Ovis aries: one gene and its partners. The protein of the gene in region 3 purifies or fractionates together with the protein of the main gene of each other region. This does not show direct contact. Links are inferred from orthologs where the notes say so. Each region holds a gene or a part of one and is shown on either strand. Other genes may lie near its edges.

What was found. The genes of interacting proteins can lie anywhere in the genome.
Region 1: the proteins of PTPN14 (region 3) and PDLIM7 purify together in Homo sapiens (affinity purification with mass spectrometry; 3 studies listed by BioGRID and IntAct, counting the BioPlex papers as one, with this or other methods). This does not show direct contact. The link is inferred for Ovis aries from reciprocal best matches to the Homo sapiens genes PTPN14 and PDLIM7.
Region 2: the proteins of PTPN14 (region 3) and WWC2 purify together in Homo sapiens (affinity purification with mass spectrometry, with the first as the bait; 3 studies listed by BioGRID). This does not show direct contact. The link is inferred for Ovis aries from reciprocal best matches to the Homo sapiens genes PTPN14 and WWC2.
Region 4: the proteins of PTPN14 (region 3) and WWC1 purify together in Homo sapiens (affinity purification with mass spectrometry; 7 studies listed by BioGRID and IntAct, counting the BioPlex papers as one, with this or other methods). This does not show direct contact. The link is inferred for Ovis aries from reciprocal best matches to the Homo sapiens genes PTPN14 and WWC1.
Region 5: the proteins of PTPN14 (region 3) and STXBP4 purify together in Homo sapiens (affinity purification with mass spectrometry; 3 studies listed by BioGRID and IntAct, counting the BioPlex papers as one, with this or other methods). This does not show direct contact. The link is inferred for Ovis aries from reciprocal best matches to the Homo sapiens genes PTPN14 and STXBP4.

What each region holds. Positions count from the first base shown.
Region 1 is NC_056058.1:36,694,815-36,698,314, forward strand, and holds part of PDLIM7 (PDZ and LIM domain protein 7), read right to left. Parts: intron 1,799-3,500; coding exon 1,647-1,798; intron 1,566-1,646; coding exon 1,535-1,565; intron 1,047-1,534; coding exon 928-1,046; intron 586-927; coding exon of another isoform or gene 569-585; intron 310-568; coding exon 173-309; intron 20-172; coding exon 1-19. UniProt on the Homo sapiens protein: May function as a scaffold on which the coordinated assembly of proteins can occur. May play a role as an adapter that, via its PDZ domain, localizes LIM-binding proteins to actin filaments of both skeletal muscle and nonmuscle tissues.
Region 2 is NC_056079.1:13,335,216-13,338,715, reverse strand, and holds part of WWC2 (protein WWC2), read right to left. Parts: intron 3,343-3,500; coding exon 3,253-3,342; intron 2,146-3,252; coding exon 1,523-2,145; intron 1-1,522. UniProt on the Homo sapiens protein: Regulator of the Hippo signaling pathway, also known as the Salvador-Warts-Hippo (SWH) pathway.
Region 3 is NC_056065.1:68,675,801-68,679,300, reverse strand, and holds part of PTPN14 (tyrosine-protein phosphatase non-receptor type 14), read right to left. Parts: intron 798-3,500; coding exon 669-797; intron 1-668. UniProt on the Homo sapiens protein: Protein tyrosine phosphatase which may play a role in the regulation of lymphangiogenesis, cell-cell adhesion, cell-matrix adhesion, cell migration, cell growth and also regulates TGF-beta gene expression, thereby modulating epithelial-mesenchymal transition.
Region 4 is NC_056058.1:78,063,658-78,067,003, reverse strand, and holds part of WWC1 (protein KIBRA), read right to left. Parts: intron 1,664-3,346; coding exon 1,430-1,663; intron 1-1,429. UniProt on the Homo sapiens protein: Regulator of the Hippo signaling pathway, also known as the Salvador-Warts-Hippo (SWH) pathway.
Region 5 is NC_056064.1:5,021,543-5,025,042, reverse strand, and holds part of STXBP4 (syntaxin-binding protein 4), read right to left. Parts: intron 2,658-3,500; coding exon 2,561-2,657; intron 318-2,560; coding exon 226-317; intron 1-225. UniProt on the Homo sapiens protein: Plays a role in the translocation of transport vesicles from the cytoplasm to the plasma membrane. Inhibits the translocation of SLC2A4 from intracellular vesicles to the plasma membrane by STX4A binding and preventing the interaction between STX4A and VAMP2.

The DNA of each region.
Region 1 (3,500 bases), on a different chromosome or scaffold from region 3:
TCCTCATCCGGGTCTTGCACTGAGAGGGCAGAGGCAGGCATTGACCAAGAGCAGACAGAAGGCCACCCCAGCCCTGAGCCCTGGTAGAGGGTGCCGGAGCAGGCTCCAGCTAAGCCTGGGTCCAGGCTGGGGACCAGGAGCAGAGTCCGCCCTTCCCTGGGCTGGCACTTACTGAACTCGGTGCCCGTGAGGTGGGCAAGGATGCGGAAGGAACGGGACTGGCCTGTCCCAGGCCTCGGCCGCCAGTCCTCCGTGTCCTCCATCAGCCGCTGCTTGCTGGCATCTGGCACCAGCGGTCGGAGCGGCTGTCTGTGGGGAGGGTGTGGCTCAGAACCTCATGCTGGGGTGGGCAGCAGGGGCGGCCCCTCCCCGGACTTGATATAGGTGGGCTAAAGTGAGGGGAAGAGGGCAGGGCAAGGCCAGGGCCCTGCTGGGTGAGGGGTGGGGTAGGGAAGTGAGAGGGGAGGAGGGCAACCAAGGTGAAAGGAGGGCAGCCAGAGTGGGGAGGGGCCACCACCCAGAGTGCCAAAAGGAAGGAAGAGAGGACAGGCAGAGGGGGCTCACTGACTTGTCAGGGGTCTGCACCTGTGAAGGAAATAAGACAGATGGACAGATAAAGGTACAAAGAGATAGACAAGGGGAGGAAGAAAGATGGCAAGGGGTCAGAATAGCCAGGGGGAAGGCTGCACTGAGTGTCTGGGCTCAGTCGGCCAACATCAAATCCCAACCCCAGGCTACCACCGAGGAGGTGGCGGCACGAGCCACACCCTCGGTGGGGCCCTGTGCCTGCAGTACCCGCCCCAGCCACCAGGGGTCGCTGTCGCACGGTTCCGGCCAGGCTGGGGCGCAGCACAGGCAGAGCAGCAGCGGGCAGCCGGCGGGCGTGCGGTGGTGGAGACACGGCGTGGACGGGCAGGACAGACGTACCCATTCTGCTGCGGGGCGCTGTCTGCGGGCGGGTTCGCCCCGAAGGGTCGGGCCGTCTTGTTGAGGGAGGCGCTGGGTGCAAAGGTGTACCGCGGGGGGTCCGCGGCAGGGGCCAGGGCCTGGGCAGAGACAGAGCGGGGAGGGCGGGCAGGGCGGGAGGAGGCGGGGGCTCTGGCCAGAGGGGGGCGTCCCCTGGCACGAAGGGGCCAGCGGTGCTCCAGCCCTACCCCCACACATCTGGCCTGAGGCTCCGGGGAGGGGGCGACTCAGGTTTCAAGGGGCCCATTTGGGAGCAATGATCTCAGCCCACGCAGTCCGAGGGCGGGTGGGCTGGTGCAGCTTGCAGCACAGGCCGGCGGGAGAGAGGGAAGGAGGCAGGCAGACAGACGGATGGACGGACGGACCGACAGGCAGACATGCATGGTGCTCTGACCGTGCGGCAGTCCCTGGCCCAACTCCCAGTTCCCAGACTCCCCAGCTCTGGCGTCCACCCTCTACTCCCGGCCAGGGATGGGAGAGTACCAAGGCTGCACCAGGGAGGGCAGGTGAGCCTCGATGTCCAGTCCCACCCCGCCTGCTGCCCACATATCCCAAGCCCATCCCCTACCTTCTGCGGTTTGCTCTGAGCAGGCTGAGCCCTAGAAGAGAAGGGGAAGTGGTGATAATGGACCACGCCCAAGGGCACGCCCACCTGCCAGGGCGGCTCAGCTCAGGCTTACCTGCTGAGGCTGAGGCTAAGGCGCTCACCGCAGGCACGGATCTTGTTCTGGGCTTCGATGTGTGTGAGGCCCCCCGCGTTCTCACCATCAATACTCAGCACCCAGTCACCCACGGCCACGCCAGCCTGTGCAGCTTTACCTCCAGGGGTGAGCTATGGAGAGATGGAGGGTCATGGAGGGCCACGACTGCAGACCAAACTCAGGCAAACAGCAGCCAACCCTGCCCTTCCTCAGCTGCCCCACTCGCAGAACCCAGGGGTCTCTTCCTTCAATGTGTTTCTGGACTACTGTCGAATACTGAAGCCATCTGGGAGGGGGTGGGGCTCCCTTGAGCTTCACCATCACCTCAAACACGCTGCTTACACATTCATTCACCTCCAGGGACCCTCCTCACGGTTCAGAAGCTGCTGACATCAACACGCAGCCACCTTCTGGCTAAAACACAAGTGTCTCAGCTCCAACCAAAGCTTTTGAGGTCCCTGCTGGCCTCTTGCCCAGGCCATTCCACCCACCAGACCTGCCCTCTGGCTGTGCATGTGGGCATGAAGCGTGCATGTGTGCTTGTGGTATATGCGTGAGCTGAAACCATGAAGATGACTTCTGCGAAGTGGTGGGCTTTGGCGAAAACAGAGTGGAATGGGCTGCCTAGGGCGTGAGAAGATCCAATTACTTATGAAGACCTCAAGTGCTGAAAGAAGTGTTCTCAAGGTTAGGAAGCACCAGTTTTACGGCCCAGGGTCAGGTATTTCTCAGGGTCTTGATACAGGTGACTCTGAAGAACCCAACTGGGCCCTCCCAGCCCTCTGGCCTAGCGGCAGCAACACAGGCAGAACCAGCACTGCTGTTCACAAGTTTAAGCCCACAGGTCTGCCTGGCTACCTGGCAACGGGCTTGGCCTTGAGCCGGCTTGCGGGGAAGTACTGGGAGGTAGAATCACACTTCACAAGTTGGGGAGGTTTGCAGAGTACAGGCTGCCTGTGACCCCATAAGGCTCCTCAGGTGAGCTGATGCTCAGAAGGAATTCAGGCAGGAAGAGGAGGTAAGAGGTTGCAGAGAGGTGGCAGAGGGATCAGACCCAGAGACTGATGGCACTAGGGCAAGAAGGGAAAGCTCGGTTTGATGGCTCTACCTCATGCTTCAGAAGTTAGAAGGGCAAGATAGCTGGGTGGCCCTTTCTTTACTTGCTAAGTACTAACAGCAGTTTACATTTATCGAGTACCTAGTATTACCACATACTGAATCCTCCAAAAACCCTGTGGAGGAGAGTCTGGGAATATACCTATTTTATACATGGGAAAAAGAGAGGTTAAGTAACTTGCTTCTAGTTGCCTAGCTAGCAGCTCAAGAGGCAGGCTCAGGCTCCACCCTATTAGGCCACCTCTGTTGCGAAAAGTAAAGTGAAAGTGTTAGTCCCTCAGTTGTGTCTGACTCTTGTTAACCCATGGACTGTAGCTCCTCTGTCCATGAAATTCTGCAGGCAAGAATATTGGAGTGGGTTGTCATTTCCTTCTCCAGGGGGTCTTCCCAACCCAGAGATCAAACCCAGGTATCCTGCATTGCAGGAGGATTCTTTACCATCTGAGCCTCCAGGGAATTGAGAGCTGGGGCTCAGAGGTCAGCCCTCTGAATGGAAAGATTCTCTGACCCTCAAGCTGGCTTTGGGGCTTGGATCCCCTATCTTACCTCTAGTTCAATCCAACCCCTTATAATAGGCATGGGGGAGTGATGCCCTTGAGGGGAAGTGACTTACTCAAGGTCACAGTGAGTCAGTAGAAGGGAAACCTGGTCTGGCCACTCCCTACCCACATGGCTGGCTCCGGGGAAGTGTGGGCTAGCCCACGGAGGTGGGAGTCT
Region 2 (3,500 bases), on a different chromosome or scaffold from region 3:
TGGTGAAGGTGATGACATGATTTATTGATTACCCCTAGGAATAACCACAGCAGCCTGACAGAGAGTGACTGCGGAAGGACTTCGGAGGTGTTCTTGATTTCCGCCATCCAGCAGGGACAGGATGAAATGCTCGGGAACTGGGGTCCTTCAGGCCCAGAGCACAGGAGAAAGGCACAATACCCACTCTTCTCTCTTCCCTCTCTCTTGCTTTATCTTCCCTTTGTAGATGTCAGTGGTTTGTGGTAGGAACTGGGTTTGGCAGAGTTTGCACTGCTCCGTGTCATAGGGGTGATATTAACTCCCATGAGCGGCACACTGAGGGCCAGGCATGGCTGATGCTCCTGATGCATTATGAGAGCATCAACCTTCCCAGCACCCCACGAAGTAGATACCGTGTTGCCCCCACCTTGCAGGTGAGGAGCTAATGAGCCTGAGAGATGGGGCAATGTGCTCGCTGGAACTGAGGAGCCCCTGAGATGTGAGTGCAGGTCGGGCGGGCTCTGGGGGGTGGCGGGCCCCAGTGCCACACACCGCACGCCTCCCTGGGGGCAGGTGCGAGGCCCTGCAGCAGGTCTCTGCTTTGCTGGAGCCATTCTGTAAACACTGCTTCGGTGCTCCTTTTCTTTGCGGCTGATTATTTCAGTCAACACGTCACTTGCAGCTTTGGCACCTGCCGGGCGAGCAGCACACGAACCACCCAGCATCTCTGTCTGCACCCCGGGCGCTGGAGTCTCTTTCTTATCGTGTTCGGGGCGGGCTCCTCAGACCACAGCTGTGACCACCTGCCAGCCAAGGTGCACGCCATCCCAGGATGTTTACAACCACATCCACTGTATTAAAAGCTCTGGCCTCGCAAAGGTGAGCAATTAAAGCGTAGGAGACTCCCCCTCTGTTTCTGCTTCTCTGAGCTCAGGCAGGAGTGGGAACTCAACCCCATGGCAACTAGCTCTACAGCCAGAAGGTGGCAGGGCGACACCGCAGGCTGGGACCGCTTTCTCCAAATTAACTCTCTGCGGAAAGGGAGAGTCTGGCATGAAACAGAAACTGTATTTATAGAGAATTCCCATAGCAATCTAAACATTGAACCTTGGTACTAATTAGCTGCTATGCTAATTGCCTTGGTTTGAATCTGTTTTAGGCCAACTTTGAAAAAAAAATAAAAAAAGTCCTCTTCCCCACCTCACTATTTCAGAAACAGCCCCTTATCTGGAAGCCTGAAGAATGTTCACAAAGTATGTCCCCAGGCAGCTCAGGACACTGCAGGGTTCCAGACGACAAAATGGACATTTAACGGTTAAATCTATTAAATACGGAAGGCGATTTATATTCGATGAGAAAAAAAAAAAACAACTGTGCGAGTTATAGCAATAAACGTTCTTTCCCAAATGAAGCCAAAATGAAAAAAGAGCAGCAGAAAGAGAAGGGGGACGTGTACCAATACTTGCTCCCACAGAAAAAGTAACCTCCCCTCATCCCTGAAGATGGTTTGGCGGGGGCAGCTTAGAGCGTGGTCTCTGTGTACCTGCGGGCCCCTCGTACAGTGGCTCCTGAGCACACTCGCCAAGCTCCTTGTTCTCGTCCAGCAGAGACGGGGGCGCTCCTCCCGGGTCAGGGTCCAGCAGCAGCTGATGCTCTCTGAGGCTGATGTCTGCAAAGTGACCGCTCAGCTCACAGTCCTCAAAGTCAGCAGAGAACTGGTGGAGGGGGCCGTCGTGGGGAGACATGGGGAATGCGCCTTCCAAGACCAACGGGGAGCCGGGCGGGGACAGGGAAGACAGGGAGGACCTCGAGGACAGGGACGTTACGGACTTGGGGGCCTCTGCCAGGGGGGTGGGGTGGCCTGGGGCTGCGGCCGCCGCCCCCCCGGGGCCGCTCTGGCCAGGCTGGCTGGGGGACTTGGCCACCTCGTGTTCGTGGATGGTGGTGATGGGGCCGGAAGGCATGTAGCCGCCTTTCTCCTGCAGGAGGAAGTCCAGTTTGTACTGATAATCCGCGTCCAGCTGGTCGCCCTGGCTGGTGTAGTAGAGCTCGCTGGAGCTGAGGGAGTTGAGCGACCCTCTGCTGGATGTGTTCAGGGACCCCCGGCTGGAGGCCAGGGAGCCCAGGCTGCTCCCAGAGGACACGGACAGCGTGCTGGCGGAGAGGCTGGGAGAGGAAGGCGTACAGTGAGAGCCTGGACGTGGGCTTCCCTGGCGGCTCAGTGGCAGAGACCCCGCATGCTGAGCAGCCGTGCAGCCTGTGCACCACAGCTGCTGAGCCTGGGAGCTGCAGCTACGGACGCCCGAGCACCCTGGAGCCTGTGCTCCTCGACAAGAGACGCCACTGCCACAAGCAGCCCAAGCACAGCAGCTAGAGGGGCCCCTGCTCGGCACAGCTGGAGAAAAGCCGGTTCAGCGACGGAAAACCAGCGCAGCCAAAATAAATAAGTAAGACCAAACAGAAACAAAGCAAGAAGCTGCGATGATGTGGATGGAAGCCCTTGCTGGCTCCTTTGGCAGAGAGGGAAGGAACCCAGTGATGTCAAAGATCAAGGTCAGCGACCAGGGAAAGGGCACCTGCAGCCACGCCACATGTTTCCATGCCCAGTCTCAAACATTTCCAACCCGGCTCTCAAAAGATTCTCTGAGGAGCAATCCTACCTTACCAAAAATCATCCTCCTTGTGTAAAAGTTTACAAAAAATTTAAAAAGGGATCAAACATCTACTGATAAATCTATCCGCATAAATATCCAGAAGCAACTGTGCAACTAAAGATATATAAAAGTGTGTGTGTGGAGGTAAACAGCATGAAGGGTTACTGCTGTGACTTTACTTAAAGAACGAAATCTTTTATTGTGAGAGAGGAAAAAGCCAGCTTCTAAAGACAAAGGCCGCTAGGCTCACTCCCCTTCTTCCTCTTTCTGTGTATATTTTGGAAGTGAATGTGTGGCTATTTTAGGGCAAATCTCCCTTTTTAAAAGAAGGGATGATGTGGAGAAATGTGTTATTTTCCTAAGTATGTCCTGGTCATTAAAATATATCTTCTTCCCAACACACTGCAAACAGCTTCCAAATAGGACCCTGGGGTTCATGAAAGCAAACAAACAAATCTCTCCAACTTTAAATCTGGTCATTCAGGTTTTAACCGTACTAGTGCAACTATTTTCTTACTTTTAAGTCATCAAAAATAAAGAGGAGGTAATTGAAGCAGAATTGCAACATGCCTGAAGGTAGCCAAGAAAAATTTTCCCTTCAGGAACAAAACAGACTTACTTTTTAAGTTGTGAATGCAAATATGTAGTTAATTTAGTAGTTTCTTCAAGTTTCTGTAGCAGCTCTTTCCTTCGCTCTTCCAATTTCAATCTAGACAAAAAAAAAAAAGGAGATAAATAAATTTATTTTCAACATAATGACGATAAGCATAGAAACTGAAGGGAGAATAAAAAGATTCTTATTATTTTCCCTTGTGAAATCCAAATGAACTCAACACAGAGAAAACAGAACCACCCATCAGAAGGAAA
Region 3 (3,500 bases):
TTAGACTGTGACAAGAGCCGAAATACAAAACATCTTTCCCCAAAGACAAGAGGCTCTGAGTGAATTGCTAAATGGACTGGGGGTATACGCCAGTTTTGGCAACACCACGTAGACTTCTTCAGTTACAATGGAAAAACTATGTTTGACTTGGCAAAGGAAGAAACAGATTTTTTTTTTTCTCTCTCCCCAAAGAATAGAGGCCTCCTCTACAGAAATAACAACTTCTGGTCTCTTTCTAGCTGATAAACAGGAGAGCCTATGAGCTGCCATGCCCAGGGTTTGGGAATATACGCCGAGTTACTCGGAGATCCCCCAAAGTTCTCAGACTCCAATAAAAAGACCATTGCTTTGTTTGACACAACAAAAGTGAGCTGGCTGGACTGAAGTCTGGTTGTTTTTTGTTTGCTTGTTTAATCGTAGTACATGGTGATTCAAGAAAAACAGTTAAAAGCTGGATCAAAATGGGACATAACAATAAATTGATCTTTGGAAAACAAAACAAACCTATATGGAAATAAGGAGAGAAAAGAGAGGCACGTCAGAGAGAAAAGGATTGGCAGAGAAAAGATGCCAGAAGGGGGACAGGGCAGTGGGGTCGCCAACACAAAGCTCATCTTCCAACCGCTCCCTTCCCCGGGGACAGATGGCGGGGTGCCCCTGCCACTTACCTCCTCTGCGGTGACCATGGCGATCACGTTGGCTCCCTGCTCCCACACCATCTGCCAGAAGTCATGGCATGTGTGTGGCAGGGGCCCCTGAGTGGCGATGTAGTGCCATTCTGCCCCACCGACCACCACCTGGAAGCCAAGGGAAGCATCAGTGAATGAACCCCAAATCCAGGACAGAATTCCATGCTGACCACAGGTCCTTTTGCAGCCACCTGAAAACCTTGGATAACATTTTTAGGTCCAATGTGTTAGTGCCATTATCAACAGTCCTGAGACCAGGAGTGGCTAGCGACACAGCCTCACATGAAAACATTATGCCACTCAAGCTTATCAAAATATATCTCATGGGTTTTGGTCTTCAACTCACAGTAATTATGTATAAATCAGTGCATATTAAACATACACACACACACATGTATAATATTATATGAATATATATGTGCGTAATTTAACAATTTTTACAGACATAATAGTTATGTTTCCAATATGCAATGCATTAATAATTGCCATTCTTTTCCTTTTTTATATTCTATCCATTAAAAAAACAAAACAAGCAAAAAAACAAAACAAAACTCCACAAGCTCTCCCTTACTAAATTGGTTTTATACCCCACTGCTATATTGAGAAACAGTACTTTGTGGCATCCTTTTAAATAATAGAAAAGTCAACCATGGAATAACACCCCTTTGGAATAACAATGTCCTTCTGCCAGTGCCCTGATGGGAAGAGTGTCCTAAACGTCTCTTGTACCCACTGCTCTGTACCACATACAGTAAAGGTGTTATGAATGCACAGAAGCCAGCAGTACATGATATTTCATCACTACCTTCCCCTTGTGCAGTATCATAGCATCCAACTGAACTCTGGAATCCTGACATGATTTTGGATAATAAAAACATTACCCTACACAGTTCAGGGTGACCTTCGTGAGAAATGGAGTATTTCCTGCCATATCAGTAAACAAAGGATATCACAGTCACCACCAGCATGGATGGTGAGCTGGTGAGCCCTGAGGGGGCTCGGGAAGGAAAGAACACCTGCCCTCTAGCAGCCATCCGACTGCAGCCACTCCCCATGGTGAGCCTCCAGGGAGCTCAGGTGGTAAAAAGACCATACTGGCCCCAGATAGCTGAGGTGCATATCAAAGGAATGATTTCAGTGAGCCCAGACTCTTGCACCTTCCCATTCACAGAAAAGTGCTAAATTCCTTAACTTGGGTTATCTGGTTTTCTTTAATTAACAATAATCTCCTGATGTTCTGACTACCCTGCCCTTTGTTGCGAAACTTCTATATAACCTGGCTCCTCCCCTAGCCTCCAGGGAGCAATTCCCTCAGGTTTACTTGAGATGCTGTCTCCTAGGCTTTAAATTCTGAAAAATCCCCACCAAATAAAGCATAACTCTCAACTTTTAGGTTGTGAATATTTTTAAAGCCCACATTGGGAGGATAATTCTGCAGAGATAAATATCAGCAGTGGAGACTCATCAATAAAAAGGCGTGCCCCGAGTGTGGGAGGTGATGCTAGCAGGGGGAAATGGGCCTTTGGAGGGACTCTCTCTGGGTATCTCTTCATTCCTGTGCCTTGATATTGCCAAGTAAGGCTTCCTTACACATTCACCGGTGTGGATCTCAAGATAGCTTTAGGGGTAATGGAGTGATCACTGTTTGCAACTTTTTCTCTCATTTGTTTTATGAAACTATATACTAACTTGATTCAAACAAAAACCATGTCAGTTATTATCTCATTACACAAGACATGTTTAGGTCAAAGCTGGCAAGCAAAATCCATTTTCTGATTACTGGTGGGAGATGACACTTGTGTATTTGCTGGCTGGCTAGGAATTTGGCTTATCTGTGGAATCATGCTTTTAAACATTATCCTCTCTGGCACCCAACATATAGGAGCCATAAATACTTCCAGAGTATGCTGCTGCCTGGGGCCTTTCAGCATATTCCCAAGTATTGACAGGAGGGTATTAAAAGCTGCATTAAAAACCCAACCGCCAATGCTACTGAGGTGGGTTTCACAAATGTGATTTCACCTCTGGAGCAAACAAATCTCTGTTCTATGTTAACGGCTGCTTGGAATCCAGGGAGGAAACACTGGCAAGATATACAACTCCACTCCAAAAACACAAGGACAAGTTCTCACAGGCTCTCTGGGTCTATTAAACGCACCCATGTCTAACCCAGATCCACAAGATGAAATGTGGGCCTCGGAGAATATGGAGGAAGGCACGTTTCTGTTAACAACGCCCGACGGGCACAGCCCATGCAGACTGACAGCTTTTTCCAGAGAGTAGATGGAAAACAGGAGAGGCGATTTGGCCAAAAGAAGACAGCATATTACAGCTGTGGAAGATTTTCACAGATACTCTAGCAAGAAGCAGCTGTGCGATCCGCATCTCTGCTTGAGTCCATTTTTTCGGTCATTATTTCGTCATCTAAATTCAGCCCAGGAAACTCACCACTGTCAGTTTCCTGCAGAGTTTTATGGGGCTCAGTTTTTTTTTTAATTGTTTTTATTGTTTTAGTTTATTTATTGTTTTTTATTGTATTAGTATTGTTTTGAGAGTCTTCACTCTCAAAAATATGACTAAAATACACAATTATGATCCATGAGAGTTATGCCATTCTATTTCTTTGGACAGGACTTTCTGACAGTTAAAAAAAAAAAAAAAACACTCTATGATGACCTAAAGGAGTGGAATGAGAGGGTGGGAGGGTGGCTCACGAGGGAGGGGATATATGTACACATATGGCTGATTCACAGTGTTGCGCAACATTATAAAGCAAATTATATTCCAATAGAAAAATATGTGGTTACCTAT
Region 4 (3,346 bases), on a different chromosome or scaffold from region 3:
TTATTATAACTCTGATATAATAAACAAGAAAGAAATAAATGTTTGGGGAACTTCTGATTTACTAGAGTCAATTTGAGGCTCCCACAAGTCCAGACCTAGGAAGCCCAGCACCACCTCCTGCTTTATGTTATCACCTTAATTGAGAGTCGGAATTTTAGCTAATGGCCCTCCCAACAATCCAGTGAGGCACCCTCTGGAAGGCGCTCTTGTATTGCTTGGCTGTGTGCAGAGAAAACTAGCAAAAGCTTGTCATTTCTGCCATGGACAGCCATCCTGGCAGGTATGAAAGGAATGAGGCAGAGATGGCCTCTGTGTGTTAACCCTATGGTGTTTTATTTCTTCACCACAGTCTGGGATCTGTTAGCTAAGAGCCCACTGGTGTCAAAGACAAATTTTTACCCATCCAATTGTTTTAAATGAAGCTCAAATAGCAGTTTGGTTTTTCTTTTTTTTTTTTTTTTAGACTTTTAGAGCCTGCCTGTTACCTATACCCCCTAAAAGTGCACCCAACATCTGCTAGTCTAGATGTGCTAAACCCCAGGACTATAAAAGACTCCAAACTCTTGCTGCTTTGTTCTCCAACCCAAGACTTCTCATGGTGCTCCAAGTCACATCATCTCCAAGTCTAGGTCCCCTCTCCAGCTCCCTTTTCCCCTGGGAGTTCGCCTGGTCTCCTCCTCTCTAGGTCAGTCAGTTCAGTTGCTCGGTCGTGTCCGACTCTTTGCGACCCCATGAATCACAGCACGACAGGCCTCCCTGTCCATCACCAACTCCTGGAGTCCCCTCTAGGCAGTGGAGCCAAAACAGCTGCCTCTGGAGGCTGGGGGTGGGGGCGTCTCATGCAGTGTGAGACCTTCCCAAATACACACCTGTGAAAGCAGCAGCCACCCAAATTCAACTCATCGTATGCTCTGGCCCCTTTGTGGTTGTATCTTTTTTCTTGAGCAACGCTGAGATCTCCCCAGCTCACTACGCTACGGATGAGACGCCAGGAGGCTTGTATCCTCAGGCGTCTTCATCAGGATAAAACCCGGCCAGGACCCACTCCTCTCCCCTTTGGAGAAACGTGCTCTGTGGGACTGGGTAGGCAGGCACGAGGGCAAGTCAGCGTTTTTATTTCCTCTGTGCAAGTGTGTGCCCCAGCGTAGATAAAGTGCCCCCCAGTATGCCTGATGAAGGACCAGCTGCTGGAATAAACGTGCGAGTAATAAGGGCTTGCACACATAGACGGGAATGCAGCAAAAGAACCTGGCAGCAGTAAACAGTGAATCAAGCTTCCTGGGGGAGGGATTGCTGGCTTCCTTTGCTGATGAGCTTGAGGGGCTCTGGGAGCACTCTCAGTGAGTCACAGAACTGCAGGACCCGTTCAGGGCCCTCGCCGCCCTCCCTTGCAGCGGCGCGCCCTGTGTTCCCGCGGTTCGCCACCCACCCGCTTCTCCAGCATCCTCAGCAGCAGGCGGAAGCGCTCGTCCTCCCGCACCCACTGCGGCAGCTCCTTCTCCCCGTGGCTCTTGGCTTGTTCCAGCTGCTCCTTGAGCTCCTTCAGCACCGAGATCTCCTGAGTCAGCTGGCTGTGCCAGGTCCTGGTGGCCTGCAGGTCCAATTCGAGGTCCAGCGAGGTGCGTGGCAGGCGCTCAGCGCGCAGGGATTTAACGGACGAAGGCTGCGGGGGTGGGGATGGTTTGGACCGGTTAGTACAAGGCCGGGTCCACTGACTCTGTGCTCTCCCCTGCTCTGGAGGTCAGCTTATCCTCCTTCATTCATCAGAGGGCTTCCATTCCAAAAGTGAGGCTCGCCCAACCCCTGGGAGCCTGTTTTGATTTTTTCCAGGTCTACCCCTCATATTAGTGAGCATTTTTATATCCCAGGCATGGTGCTGGGTGCTTTACTTCCATTACCTGAGTTCATTTTCACAACCCTATGAGGTCCTGACTGTTATCATGTGCACAGATGAGGCTCCCAGAGGTTAAATCACACACGTTATAAGCAGTGAAGCTGAGATTCCACCCCAAGCAGCTGGCTCCAGATCCCACCCATGCACTCCCTACACGCAGTTGCTTCCCTTACTCTCACTGGCTTCCATCTACTGCCTGAGCTCTGCCTCTTTCTGCGTCAACATATCCAGACAGGTTTCTGAGACTGGACATGGGCCAGAGCAAAGGAAATAGCAACCGACTCCAGTATTCTTGCCTGGAGAATCCCATGGACAGAGGAGCCTGGCGGGCTACAGTCCACAGGGTCATGAAGAGCAGGACATGACTGATGATAGTACAGGGGCAGCAGAGCTAAGCAAAAGCATCTTCAGGTGAGACCTGGAGTCACTGAGATCACTCAGCTGGATCTCCCCGCCTTGCTCATTTATAAGCACAGACTAGACAATGGTCACCCTAGAAAAGCACAGAACCACTCCATTGAGTGGTTTCCTGTTCCTAAAAGCATGCTGGCCAGCCTGAAGTGAGGACAGGTCTCATAGTTAATGTCTTATGTATTAATACCATTTAAAAAATCACTTTATTGGGCGTTGGATTGGTTTTCTGTTACTGCATAACAAATTATACAAACTAGCAGCTGAATGTAATGCAAACTCACTATCCCACATTTTCAGTAGGTAGGAGTTTAGACAGACACAGGTTGGCTGAATCCTCTGCTCAGGGTCTTATGAGGCTGAAATCTAGGTTCTGACTGAGTGCATCCCTATCCGGGGGTTTGACGAAGGGATGATTTGCAGCCAGGCTCCCTCAGGTCCTGGGTAGAATTCATTTCCTTGCATTTTCTCACTCAGCCGCTGACCAGGGGCTGCTCACAGCTACTAGAGGTCCTCTCAGGCCCTTGCCTGGTGGCCCTCTCCACAACATGCATTGCTCAGGCAGCTAGTGGAGGAAGGTCTGCAGTGTGCACGGGTCTTGGCCCAGCCTCTGGACACCCCTGTGCCTCAGGACATAGAAAGGCCCTGAAGGGAACATGGGCTCAGACTAGCTATCAGGGGTCCCCTTTGCAAGGCATCCCCTTGGCTGAGCAGAAGAGGAAGTGAAGAAGCAGGAACTTCTGTGGGGCTTGCCTTGCGGCGGGGGGGGAGGGGATGTGTGTGTGTTGGTGGTGGGGTTGTAAGACATGCAGGGGGTACTGAGTAGGAGCTCCTCGGTGTCATTTCTCCAGGAGTGGATCACGGAACACCTGCTCCAGAATTCTGAAGAGGAGCCTATAAAAATGCTGCTTCCAGGGCCACACCACAGCTGCCTGGATGAGGTGGCCTGGGAGTGCGGCCTGGGATTCTGCATCATCAACAAGCTCCCAAGGTGACTCGGTGCCCCAGGGACTGGAGTGCCAGCCAGCCACAGCAGACGGG
Region 5 (3,500 bases), on a different chromosome or scaffold from region 3:
GGTCTCCTGCATTGCAGGAGGATTCTTTACTGTCTGAGTCACCAGGGAAGCCCAAGAATACTGGAGTGGGTAGCCTATCCCTTCTCAAGGGGATGTTCCCAACCTAGGAATCGAACTTGGGTCTCCTGCATTACAGGCGGATTCTTTACCAGCTGAGCTAACAGGGAAGCCCATTTAAGACATGACTTAAGTGCAATTAAGACACCTCTATAGGGCATACTCTACCTGTGAATTTAATATGCTGGAAATTTCATGTGCACCAACATTGGCTTCATCCAATTGCAAGCAAAACAAGTTTCTGGCAGTGTGGACAAAATCTAAAACAGAACACATTTCAGTAAGAATACAGTACTTAACCTTATCTAAGTCAACTTTACCTTTCTCTACATGAAGTTAAAGCTATGTGTTATAATAACAGTTAAAATTTAACTTACTTAAATAGGCTTAACAATAATAACAATAGTAGTAGAAGTAATAATAATAATAGCAGTGAATGTTTCCATAACTGCCTCAAATGCTAGGAATGGCACTTTGTAATTTCATCTCCAGAATTTTCTGAGATAGGTCCTCTAATCCTCTCCATTTTACAATTTGGGGCTAAGATAAGTTAACTTGGCAAATAAGTAGCAAAGCAAGATTCCATTTAAGGTCTGACTGAAAGTCATATGCTCTTGATTGTTATATAACACTGCCTAATGCCCACCTAGCAAACTATAGGTTTCCTGAGACATGGAGTGTGACATGTTCATCTATCTTCAATTTTTTTTTAAAATTTGGCTATTATATATTTAGTTTCCAATGATCTTTTTAACTGCTCCTATTTTATAATATCCTTCTCTTATTTCATGGACAGCTTAGTTTTTTTTTTTTTTTTTATCATTTCTAATATATGGTTTACCTGAAGTTCTCTTTGCTCTTGGAATATTCCTTTTCTGAGTTCCTCTTTTTCTATTTATCTGACACTTTGGGGCTTTACATTTATGTTGAAGGATTTCTCCAAATGTCTGATAACTCCTGGTTTTAAGTTCACATTCAAGAAAAATTAGGCACTAAATCATTGATTGGAAATTTTGCGTGCCTAACTCTCTTTGTCAACTAGTGGGTTTCATTACAGAGCAATCAGGTAGCCAACTATTTTGAGGTCTTGTTCAGTTTCTTTGGAGAAACTCCTACAACTGCTTACCCATAAAGTATAAATATGGTTGCAAATATCACTGAGCAATCTGAGTGTGTGTTGTGAGTGATAATTCACCATACATACCCCTAAATTCCCTAGCTGCTGGCAACTATAGGTCTGGAATCAATCTGGTGTAATTTCTAAAGAGGATAGACTTATTTTCCTCTGCAAGGATAAGGGAGTGGTAGTTGCTGGATTGCTTGAGAGAGGGCAGGGAAAAGCATACCTAATTGCTCCTTACACAGATTCCTAACAACTCTGTTCTAAATGCCCTGCCTACACCCAGCCTTAAGTACCTGATGCTCTCAATTTCTAAACCTTTCCAGGAATTGGCTTGCTCTCTGCTGTGATTCTCCTATCTTTTCAAACTCTTGGGCTTTATATGCCTCTGCTCACTAATTCATTTACTGTTCTCATTTACTTTCTGTCCTTATTCACTGTGGTCATACATGTATTTCTATTTCTTGTTCTCATTATTTTGTGATGATTTTCAAAAGGAGAGGGGATCAAATGTATCTTTTTTATCACTTCAAAACCCCAAATTTCTTTCTTTAGCAATACTGAGGCTTTTAGAATGATACAATGTTGCATCTACTCTATAAAAAAAAATTAAATTCTTAATGTTATCAAGGATACAAAAACCAGTTACATTCAAACATTACTAGTAGCAGAGCAAATATGTGTGTAAACTGTCTCTGAAAAACAATTCATTAGTACATTTGAAAAGTCTAGGCCACTTGTGGGAATTTATCCTAAGAGAAAGAAGAAAAAAGCTATATTAAACATAGAATTATTTATATTATCAGTTAATGAAAAAACATCAAAATTTCCAATAGTGCAAAGTTTAAGATATTAATAATTATATCATATTGGTTGAAAACATTTATGCAACAAATTAAAAACAGAACATAACATGATAGAATAAAATTTTAAAGCTGAAGGATTCTAAGAAAGTTCTCCTTTCTGCTGACTCAGTTAGGCCGATAATTCTGAGTGTTTAGAATACTGTTTAAGGCGTTACGTACATGTTCAGTCACTTCAGTTGTGTCTGACTCTTTGTGACCCCATGGACTGTATATAGCTCTCCAGGCTTCTCTGTCTATGAGATTCTCTAGGCAAGAATACTGGAGTGGGTTGCCAGGCCCTCCTCCAGGGGATCTTCTGACCCAAAGATCAAACCCACGTCTCCTGATTTGCGGGTGGATTATTTACCGCTGAGCCACCAACAAAGTCCCACCATTTAAGGAACTTGACATATTAATAGATGTGGCTTTTGTTTTTCTTTCTTTCCTGCTAAAGAAGAGGCACTCTTAATAAATGTGGGCCACAACAACTCTTCGACCAAGTTTCTGTGATGATGCAACATGATGAACCTAACGTTACCTCCAAAAGACACCATCCCCTTTGGGTCTACTTGCATTTTCTCTCTCAGGGCTTGGTGTTGTTCTTTTGTGGGCTGAATTCCAAGATAATTTAGAGCCTGGAATGGAAATAATGTATGTGAAGTAATTTTTCTAATCTCCAAAGAATAAAACTTCATTACACATTATTTTACAACCCAGTGAAAAGAATCATATCAGGAACAGTGACCATGATCAAAAAAAGTCTAATAACTATTTATGGATTAATTTTCCATAAAAAACTAGCTTCTTGATCTTTCACCACCTCATTTTTCCCCCCGAGGAAAGTTATCACTCTAGTGAGTGTCAAATTTATAAGCATATCCCTAGAACCAAATTCAAACTATTTCTTAGTTTTTAAAAATCTGTGACAAGGAAGAAGAAAAATGCAAGGAAATCCTAATAAATCTGACAGTGTCGACTTTTGTTTGATATCTTGTACTTGAGACCAAAACTAAGGTTGCCAAGAATTGGGTCGAATACAAAATATTCTAATTTTTGGTTTGTTTATGGGCAAGCTTACACAGATAATAAACTAAAAAGCATTCTCTGGAACCCACTTCTCTCTACTGGTCTGTTTTTAGTACCCATCAGTTCAGTTCAGTTCAGTTCAGTCGCTCAGCTGTGTCCGACTCTTTGCGACCCCATGAATCGCAGCACACCAGGCCTCCCTGTCCATCACCAACTCCAGGAGTTCACTCAGACTCACGTCCATCGAGTCTTTGATGCCATCCAGCCATCTCATCCTCTGTCGTCCTCTTCTTCTCCTGCCCCCAATCCCTCCCAGCATCAGAGTCTTTCCCAAGGAGTCAACTCTTTGCATGACGTGGACAAAGTACTGGAGTTTCAGCTTTAGCATCATTCCTTCCAAAAGAAATCCCAGGGCTGATTTCCTTCAGAATGGACTGGTTGGATCTCCTTGC